Linked DNA regions of Neodiprion lecontei. The protein of the gene in region 2 binds, or shares a complex with, the protein of the main gene of each other region. Links are inferred from orthologs where the notes say so. Each region holds a gene or a part of one and is shown on either strand. Other genes may lie near its edges.

Region 1 (5,153 bases), on a different chromosome or scaffold from region 2:
TTGAAATTTTAACTGGAAAAACAAAATTACAGTGTTGAGATAATGAGGAAAAAATTGGACAGCGAATCTCTAGGAATTATTCTGCTAGCAGCTTTCATGGATGAATTTTTTCCCGAAGATCCTCGTACTTGTCCTGACACATTTGTGTTGTTCCACTACAACGGTTTGCCACGAAGCAACCTAGAAAACAAAGTCACATATCGGAGAGGACAAGCTGTGCTGCTAGAATGTACAGTCAAATGTATTTTAGATAGCAATCCGATGTTGACGGTATTGCAAACTAAATGGCCGAGCATCGAGGTACAGTGGGACAAAGAACAGACACCCAGTGTCAACTAGAAGAACAAATTTTTTTTTTTTGTTTTATACGAAAGTGTAGAGACTGCATACTCTCTACGACTGAGTCTAGACTGTGTACAAAAAAAAAGGTAAAAAGAAAATAATAAATCAGAGCACCGTAGGCATTGAGGTAGAGAAATGTTAAAAAAAAAATACGACCAGTTACGTGATTCTAAATTTATAATAATATAACTACCTTAAGTAATATCTAAGGTACCAATTGTCTAGGGTCGTGACGGTTTTATTTATATGTATAAAAAGTAATGATATTAAATTAATGAAAAACAGCACATTCCGGAAGCAACCTTGACTTTTTGAGTTAGAACGAACAGCGGGATTGTACATAGCTCTGGTCATATCTAGTAATTTTCTTTAATTTGCTAAGAGATGTTTCAAAGATTCAAAAGATTTGAGGGCCATAAGTTCATAACAATTATTGTGAAAATACTTCTGCTGCAAAAGTTAAAACCAGTAATAGTAATAATGATAATAATAACGATACTGAAGTGCTGAAGGCTTTTTGGATTCCGATAAAAACAAAAGTTAAGACATTATTTTGCTAAGATGAAAGGATTATTTTTTTGCATATAAACATCGAGATAACAGAAAAAATTGCACTGGTGTAAAGCCAATTGAAGGTTGCCGTTCAATCTCATGCACACGAATTCGACTAATATAATGAAGAAATCTCAACAGAATTAAAACAGTAATTGTCTAAATTAAAAGCTGATTCCCCCTTTGCCATAGTTACGTTTTGGGTTACGCTGAATGCGGTATTCTTGATTTGCCTTGTTAATTTGGAAAGTCAGTAGCACAATGTAAAATCAACAATAATGACAACAATAAATTCGTTGCTTTACGCAAATGCTCTGAAGACTGAGTATAATATAGGAATCAATGTTTAGAGTATAACTACCACGTTACGTTTGTAATAAGGTTGCGTACCAAAAGAGAAAGAAGTGTCTTTGAGGAAAAATATAGTAATGATAACATTAAATAAAAAGAAAAACAAAGTTATACTGATAACAATTATAAACGAAATTAAATAATAATAATAATAACTGATGTAAAGAGAATGTTCTCAAACATTAGGTATAGATAATGTTTCTGAATGAATATGTATACAGGAACAAGGTAGCGTATACTAGAATCTTCTTAATATATTCAGTCAAGAGAGTGAAAGAGAAATATAGTGATTCGTCTCATTGTATAAGTTGAAAGTTTTTTTTTTTTTCTGCACAGTTTAGACAACTAGCAACAAATGTATTTAAGCTGACCATCATAGTGTACATGAGTACATGGGATTAATAGTTAATTATTTATGACGCTCTTCTAAAATTGTTGAAAAAAGAAAAATGAAAACTAATATTGAAATAAAGAATAGTAACACCTCTCATGTTATAGTTATTCTTATCAATCCAATTAATCATTGTTGCATTTTTCGCATGTGTAACCCACCGCCGTGCGGTTTTCAAATTTTTGCGGACTCACGACTAACAGCCGAAACCACCGATTAGCAAGAACGGGTCATGAGATCGATTGATTGAGTTTTCTTGCCAATCAGAGCTGGGCTCTGTAACATTTTCTCTACTGTCACAAATATAGGAGTAAAATCACAAAGTGTCAGTCAGTTGCTTACGGTTTGTATAACAATAATGCAGTTGCTGGGCTGTTAATTTTTGTTTAACCAACAATGAAGTTGCATGTACCGCGAATTGCAAATGCGAGTGTCGAGATTGAAGGATAATTTGGAAATTTATGAAAATAGAGAACGAATTCGAGGTTATGTTTTGCATGCGTATTTTGCCGTTCTATCGAGTGACGTCACCTGTCACTCATGCGAAAAGTAACAACCGAAGCTGCTAGTACCTATGATTTTTCCTCGCGAGTCGCTAAAGAGCGCAACAAGTTCCAATGGTTGCGACGACTTCCGTCTGCCGTAAGATTGCCGGGCCCAGATTTTAGAATTTATAACACAGCTGACAAAGTCGACAAAGGTCATTGTAACCAATCAGGCTGCAGATTTGATCGGACAACTTCTTTTATCACCGGTGACAAAAATTTCGGTATCCCAGGTCCTCGGATGCCATTTTGACGCTATCCAGTATTCATTCCCCTTCTTTCAATTTGTACATACATACTTGTCACGCCATGAGTGCGAGAGTTGCAGCCCGAGACTAAAAATTGGGTCAATGGAATATGTAGCGTAAATTTCGAGGTAAGTTTTCACCATTATTTTGCACAATTTTTCGACAATATTACAACCGTCTTGACCGACTCTACTCGAATTCTATCTAAACTCGTATCCAATCTAACCAGCTGGGTTTTACCCGAGCAAACAATTCCGCTTTTCTCCCTTCATTTTTTTTTCCTTTCTTCTGCTCTCATCTTTCGTAAACGAAAAAATACCAGAAAAGTCAAGTAGACAAAGGCCAAAAAATGTTTTGTTTCTATTTAAAAAAAAGCCTGATCTTCCAACTGTTATTCACAATCCTACCATGTTTTATTCTTACTCGACAATGTGGTAGAAAAGTTGATGGGGGAAAAATGTTCAGATAAATATTGTAGGCTGTGAACAATTATCTCAGTTTTCTGCAAAAGCTGCAAAAGCCATCACTTATATTTGTCCCCATTTCAACTTGTTAATGGGTATGAAACAATGCTTTATCGCTTTATTAAATAAATGCCAGACATTTCTGAGACGCTATTTCCTCCGAGATGGCCGAGAAACTTGGCCTCGGCCCTGAGATTCGGGAGCTTAAGCTGGGTCCCAGTTTTACTAACAAGAAGTCGACCGCGTTCCACACACTTAAGTGTAAGTATCTGTACGCTACATTTGTAGTCTGTGTTTCGAAGTCAAACAACCCTACTGATTTATTTATTCGTAGATGACTTCAAACCAGCCAGTGTGGACGTATCTAAGATGGCACAAGTTGACGTTGGATCGAATAATACCATGACTGTAACTGTGCCACACTTAGATGGTGCTGGAACACCTCATACTGTCTTCAAGGGCTCCCAGCGACCGTATCACAAGGAGTGTGTATTGATAATAGATCGTGTCACAGGGGAAGTAACACTCGAGAAGTTGTCATCGAATATACAAGTGAAAAAAACGCGGTAAGCATTGTTGGCATCTATCGTTTCCCGGTTTTATAGAACGTTACATTTTCAAGATAGTGAAATAAACGATAAATGGTTCCTTCACAGAACCGAGCCTAAGAGTCAATCATTTCTGAGTATTCCTGGGCAAAACAGCAACAACCGCCCTTTCACGCCGGTTGAAAACAAGAAAAGCCCGACTCACGGTAGGGCCAATGGAAGAACCAAAGTGGCTACCGGGAGAAAGAAAGAACCCATGGTTCAGCTACATCCAAAACAACACAGCCCGCTTCAAGCGTCACCTTATCATGGAAAAAGCCCCCCAAACATACCAAGCAACAGGTATCCAACGACCGGTTGATATTTACCAGTCCCCAGAGTCTATGCACTATATTCTCTGATGCTACTTACCATTACAGTTCTCCTGTGCCGCCTTCCATTGCACAGTCAACTTTGGCCAGTCTTCCAATGATTGGTTTAGACAACGACGACTTTGCTTTGTCTTCTATGATGACGCCCGCTCAACCCTCACACGGTTCGGCACCACCCAGGACTGAAACTCCAGTTATTCGGGAAATAACTCTGGAGGAAAGCGCTCCTGCTACTGAAAGTGATGAACGAGCTCTCAGCGACTCAAGTTCTAGTAGCTCCAGCTCTGATAGCTCTGACAGTGATTCGGATGCCGAAAACATACCAGTTCCGATGACTACTAATGGCAAGTATAGTTATTTAAACTTGTCAATTGGTTATGCCTGCTGCAAGTATTCTTCTTTCTTATTTCATTGATTCGGATTTATACGTTTCTTTTCAGCTTGTTCAAACTCTATTTATCTACTTTCAGGACATGCAAACGGCATGTCAGCATCTCCCTCGTTGTCAATGCCTGATAATTTGCTTAAGGATGATCTACAATTGTCTGAATCTGGATCAGAGAGTGACTAAAAATATCATCTCTCCTATTTATCATCTCTTGACTTGAATTGGGGAGAGAGGGCAATAAAGATGCGAGTTTCATTATATCGGCCATTGTGGCTGCCAGCATGAGTTCAAATTTTTATAGCTGACAACAACAGCATCATATTGGATGAAAGAAATTACGTTATAAATATGTACAAAGCCTTATGTAATGAATTAATTAAATGAATTGTTCATTATAGTTTTCTCCTGTACATCAGAGAACTTAAACTCGAAGATTCTTTTTTCAGGGAGCGCAAAATTTTTAACTAGCGTGCCTAGACCAACTTCAATCCCATAGATTATAATTATGCCACGAGATAGCATCAATGTAACTTTTGCAGTCGCCGTAGAGATAATTTAGGGCAGTGAGCGAGGCACTGACAAACCTAAAACGTGCCTAGAAAAAGAAAGAATCGCTGGCACCACTCTATTGGTTTGTTCATGCTAGCTATACTTTCTACATTTTCTCAAATATACAGTGATAGTGTTCTTACCGAAGGTGTAAAAAAAAGAAAAGTGGTGAAAGTGTAGCTGCACGAACAAACCCTATCTTTGTCTCATTCGCCTCTGATTATCAACTGTTGACGCCGGAGCGGCGACTAGTGTGGAAACAAGGACAGAGAGTTAGGTGTCAACGATTCTCCTTCCCTTTCTACGTGCCTTTCAGGATTTTCGTCGCCTCGCTCACTCTATCCTAATATTATCTCTATGGTCTTCGTACGGATGTTCTACGAACTAGTGTCGCCCACGAACCG
Region 2 (4,848 bases):
CCGTTTTTGTAGTATCTTTTGATCTATATTCAAACGATGAACCAATTACCTCCCAGCGCCACACAGCTTAGCCATGTCGATTGATTAGATCTAATGCTCGTACTTTATCTTTCTCAATTGTACTACCCTTGCATTGCATTTCAAAACTATAATACTATACAAGTCATTCAACATCTCTAATAACTAATGTGTATTTTTAGTAATATATATTCTTATGATGTTGAAAATAGCATTTTGAGATCAGCGTCAGATTTTTTTCATTTTTTTTTCAATGTTGTATCTTTTTAATTGTAATTTTTCCTGAGTCCTACAATGCCTAATTTTATAATAGTTAACTAGCTACTATTTGATATATTAAAATGTTTGATAATATACATGAACCTAGCCACCAACACCTCTTATTGCAGAATATAGATGAAAACTGCGCAGAATCGCTTCCTGTTCGATTATATTTATAAGGAGTGCAATAAACAATAAATTTATATACACTGTCGTGTTCACTTGTTCTGGAATAAATAAAGTTCGTATCTTCGAACAATGTAATACATAACCAACATCATCTCATCAAATAACATATTTTGCTACTTTCCACGGAACGGACGATTCAAATCGTAAATAAAAGTGTATTAAAAAATCGGCGGCAAGTCGAAGCATATAAGTGGAGGACAGAGGAGATTGAATGAGTGTAATTTAATTGATATAGAAAATGTATATTTGAGTATATTATTACACGTGTTAAATTAAAAAAAATTACAATATATGTATAACAGTCTAATGTACACGAACTGGGCCAGATAAATCGCTACTGGTCCAACACTCTTGAAATGCAATCGCACGTTTCAGTCATACAGCAACGCTTTTTGAAAAGCGTTAGATAAATTCTATCTAACTATATCTAGGTATAATGTATTTGTGTAGCAGTGTCTGTTGCGTCTATGTACATTCTAGAATACGCGATCCTGATAACCACTGTCCGCCATACTCGAACTTGGTTTGGCAGGACCTCCAGGAACTGGGTGATGCGGGTGACGCATGTGACCCGGTCGTCGGGGCGGTGCTAAATACTCGAACATACTTTGAGTGTGCTGCGCCAACATTTTGCTGAGATCACAGGGCATTGGGTCGGTCCAGAAAAAGTCGTGATTCAGTGCCGAATCGGAGTCATACCTTTTGCTGGGATCGAGAATTAATAGTTTGTCTAAAAGGTCACAAGCAAAGGGGTCCTTGACATACGGCTTTAGTCTCTCCTTCACCTAGTACACATGAATTTGTCATTTATTGATTCAAGTGCAATTCTTCTTACAATGAAATTCGATTGATAAATTAATGTTTTAATTTTCTTATAAAATTCATGTACCTTTCTTTTTTGTCCTTTGGGCAATTCCATCTTGTTAAATAACTCTAAATTTTCTACACCGGGCCATACTTCGGTGGTCACAGATCCACATAGTTGAGAAATTAGCGTGAGCTGTTGTTGTTCAGTGTTTCCTTGCATAATGGGTGATCTGGATTTGATAAAAGTTTGACAATATGAATGCACTTCCATTAAAAATAAACTGGAAGCAGCCATAGCAAAAAACTTAATTCAAATCTTAAATCGTTTACCTAGTCCACATTTCCGCCATAATACAGCCCGCCCCCCATAGATCTACTGGTGGACCGTAATTTCTGTCTCCCAGTAACAGCTCTGGTGGCCTGTACCAGAGGGTGACAACACGGTTTGTGTACCGATTTACTTGACCGTTTTTATTGGCACTGAAAGCTCGCGCCAGTCCAAAATCTGCGAGTTTCAATATACCGTTTTTTGTTATAAGAACATTGGCAGCCTTCATATCTCGGTGTAAGATCTGTGAATGTAAAAAACGTAATTAGGAGTTTCGGCAGATATAAATGATTTTCAGAGAAACATTAGTTGAATCTAACTTACCTTGTTACTATGAATGTAGTATAGGCCATTGAGTAGTTGTTGCATGACTTTCTTTATTTCACCCAAGCTGAATTTGACGTTTACATTAGATAATAGACCTGCTAGATCATGTTCGCAGAAATCGAACACCAGGTAGAACGTCGATCGATAACGGTTGTATTGAGCCGCTATAACAACAAATCATAGCGCGGCGCTGAGTATTCTGCAGTTTTCTCACAACCAATGCAATTCGATTCTGATGAACATACCTCGAGTTCTGCATATTTCAATTAAATTAACCACATTTTCGTGCTTCAGTAACTGCAATATCTTTATTTCTCTCAGTGCTGTAATGGGAAACTGCAATGATACCATATTAGGTAAATGGTTTTGGGGTTAGAATGGAATGATGCTTATGACTAACAGTCGCAGTACAATAACGCGGTACAGGGTGTTGAATCTAGGGCTTAGGCACACGATCTCAAGTGTAAGTTATTCCAATTGTTTACGGGAGTCATGCCGAGTAAAAAAGCAAATGTACGACTAAGAGAACAAGGTCGAAGCTACAAGATGAATAATGCGGCTTGACGAAAAATTCTGATAGTTACCCCTTCTTTCTCGTTGTCCATAAGAACTTTCTTCATTGCTACGAATTTTTTGTTACTGTTCTTTTCCTTTGCTTTAAACACTTCTCTGTGAAAAAGTAATCAAAGATTGTAACAAACATAACCTTGGAGTGGGAGTTGTTAACATATGAATTGATCACGTACCCGAAAGTACCCTGGCCGATTTTAGCAACTTTTTCATATTTCGTTGATTCATCGCAGTGCGGAAAATCGAATTCTTCAATGTACTTCTCCTTTTCCTTTGTATTCATGGCGCGATAAAATATTTCACTTACTTCAAAAACTCAGGTCATTACAGTCACTACGTTTGGGTAAACCACTGAAAGTAATATCCGACAGCTATCAGAACCACGGTTCTAAACGTTCTAAACCGTGATCAGAACGAACATGAACCGCTCCGTGGAGGCCTTAAAACATATACCAGTAGAGACGCTACCGCGCTTGGTTCCAAACCGCGGCCAGGGTGGATAACTCAGGGCCTCGCCGGCAGACTGCGCTGTCGTTTTAAACGGTACAGTCGACTAAATTATATTATTTGCGTTTGTTAAGAGAACATCAGAGTATGTACATGTATGTATTCTAACATGTATTCGCATTATTTTCAGATGGTTAATCTCCAGATTTCCACGAACTGTGGCTGTAAAACATTTTTCAAACATACAGGTATATTTTCTGGAATTACATGCTGAAATAGAAGCAAGAAATGATTGAAAAAATTAGCGATGTTGTCATCTAATTTTTTCAACAATTCCTATCCTCTTCCGCGCTTCATAACATTATCAGCGATTAAGATTTGTTCAGTGACGTGTCAATCGAACAAGTCATTATCCCTGCGGTATTCTAACGTTAGATTCAACGGTCATGGGTTATGTTATGTTTATTGAGATTGAGTTTGTTCGCGCTCGGCCGACTATGACGTTGTAGGTTTCTGTGCATTGTCAACATAACGGTCTAGTGTAAAAAATTAGCAGTCTCAGATTCTCATGAATAACCCAAGTACAATCCGTCATTGAGCCACTGCATATTTCTCCAGCTTCGATAAAAAAAAAACTCGATGAAAACACACAACACTCAACTGTTAAAATTGAAGTTACATACTTAAAATCTTCATGGGTATTAAATTGTATGTCTATTCAATTAGCGAAAAACCTAAGTGAAGAACATGTATTTTGCCCTTGTTTTTGTGGTAAAGATTACCACGGCAGTACATTACCACGTCATTACTTATGATGTATTGCAGGATACAGCAACCCACCAAATTGATCACAAGTACGATCAAACACGGCACGTGTATTCGCATTTGTTTCAAAAGTACAGACATACCGCTCGTCGCGCACTCCAGTGGCGGCCCGCTAAACTATATGCCATGGCTACACATTTGCCCAACAAATGAGTGTCTACTTTGTGGAAGCTGGCCCTCAATAATAAAAATAAGTGGTATAATATTATGTAGAATATATCATCATTAGTATTATGTATAAGTATACAATATTATGATTATGCTAACTAAACTTGGTAAAGTAGTATACATTGACACCTGAACACTTGTACTAGAAATAAAACACATTGAATAAACTGAAACTGAAACTTTGTAACGATGAGTTTGTGATTTTTCTATTCCACCTCTTTAATAACCCGGTGTCAATTTCATATTTTTCAGCCGTGAGTTGTGATCCGTTGCTCGCAGCGTATCGGGACTGCGCCCAGTCGATTTCTCTCGCAAAATTACGTCGGAATAGTGCACGAAAGACCTTATTCCAGCACTTTTCGAAATCGCGAAGATTTTCGCCAAAAATGCAAAGGGTTAGCCTTACTTTTTCTTCATTTTTGGAGCCGAAAATTTTTGGTCTCAGATACGATTTGTATGACCATTTCCTAACTAATTGGACCGCCAGGAACTCAGAAAACGCAGCGAAAAGAGCGTGGGATCAACAGGAGAGAAATTCCGAAGGAAAAAGCACCCGCTGAAAAACGTCGAAAACACAGGTTCTGGTTTTTTGGCTGTAACTTTTGATCTGTTGCTCGCAGCGTATCGGGACTGCGCCCAGTCGATTTCTCTCGCAAAATTACGTCGGAATAGTGCACGAAAGAATTTATTCCAGCACTTTTCAAAATCGCGAAGATTTTCGCCAAAAATGCAAAGGGGTTAGCCTTACTTTTTCTTCATTTTTGGAGCCGAAAATTTTTGGTCTCAGATTCGATTTGTATGACCTTCTCCTGACTAATTGGACCGCCAGGAACTCAGAAAAAGCAGCCAAAAGAGCGTGGGATCAACAGGAGAGAAATTACGAAGGAGAAAGCACCTGATGAAAAATG

The links.
Region 1: cyclin-dependent kinase 9 (region 2) and ell-associated factor Eaf share a complex: the UniProt entries of both Homo sapiens proteins name them as parts of the super elongation complex. The link is inferred for Neodiprion lecontei from reciprocal best matches to the Homo sapiens genes CDK9 and EAF1.

What each region holds. Positions count from the first base shown.
Region 1 is NC_060263.1:14,748,141-14,753,293, reverse strand, and holds ell-associated factor Eaf, read left to right. Parts: upstream 1-1,925; 5' UTR 1,926-2,557; intron 2,558-3,029; 5' UTR 3,030-3,057; coding exon 3,058-3,154; intron 3,155-3,227; coding exon 3,228-3,459; intron 3,460-3,549; coding exon 3,550-3,783; intron 3,784-3,860; coding exon 3,861-4,156; intron 4,157-4,252; coding exon 4,253-4,383; 3' UTR 4,384-4,589; downstream 4,590-5,153. Other genes in the region: ubiquitin carboxyl-terminal hydrolase MINDY-3 homolog, read left to right, coding at 33-339. UniProt on the Homo sapiens protein: Acts as a transcriptional transactivator of ELL and ELL2 elongation activities.
Region 2 is NC_060261.1:1,241,564-1,246,411, reverse strand, and holds cyclin-dependent kinase 9, read right to left. Parts: upstream 2,931-4,848; 5' UTR 2,784-2,930; coding exon 2,677-2,783; intron 2,600-2,676; coding exon 2,515-2,599; intron 2,267-2,514; coding exon 2,176-2,266; intron 2,095-2,175; coding exon 1,928-2,094; intron 1,848-1,927; coding exon 1,606-1,847; intron 1,506-1,605; coding exon 1,358-1,505; intron 1,254-1,357; coding exon 945-1,253; 3' UTR 695-944; downstream 1-694. UniProt on the Homo sapiens protein: Protein kinase involved in the regulation of transcription.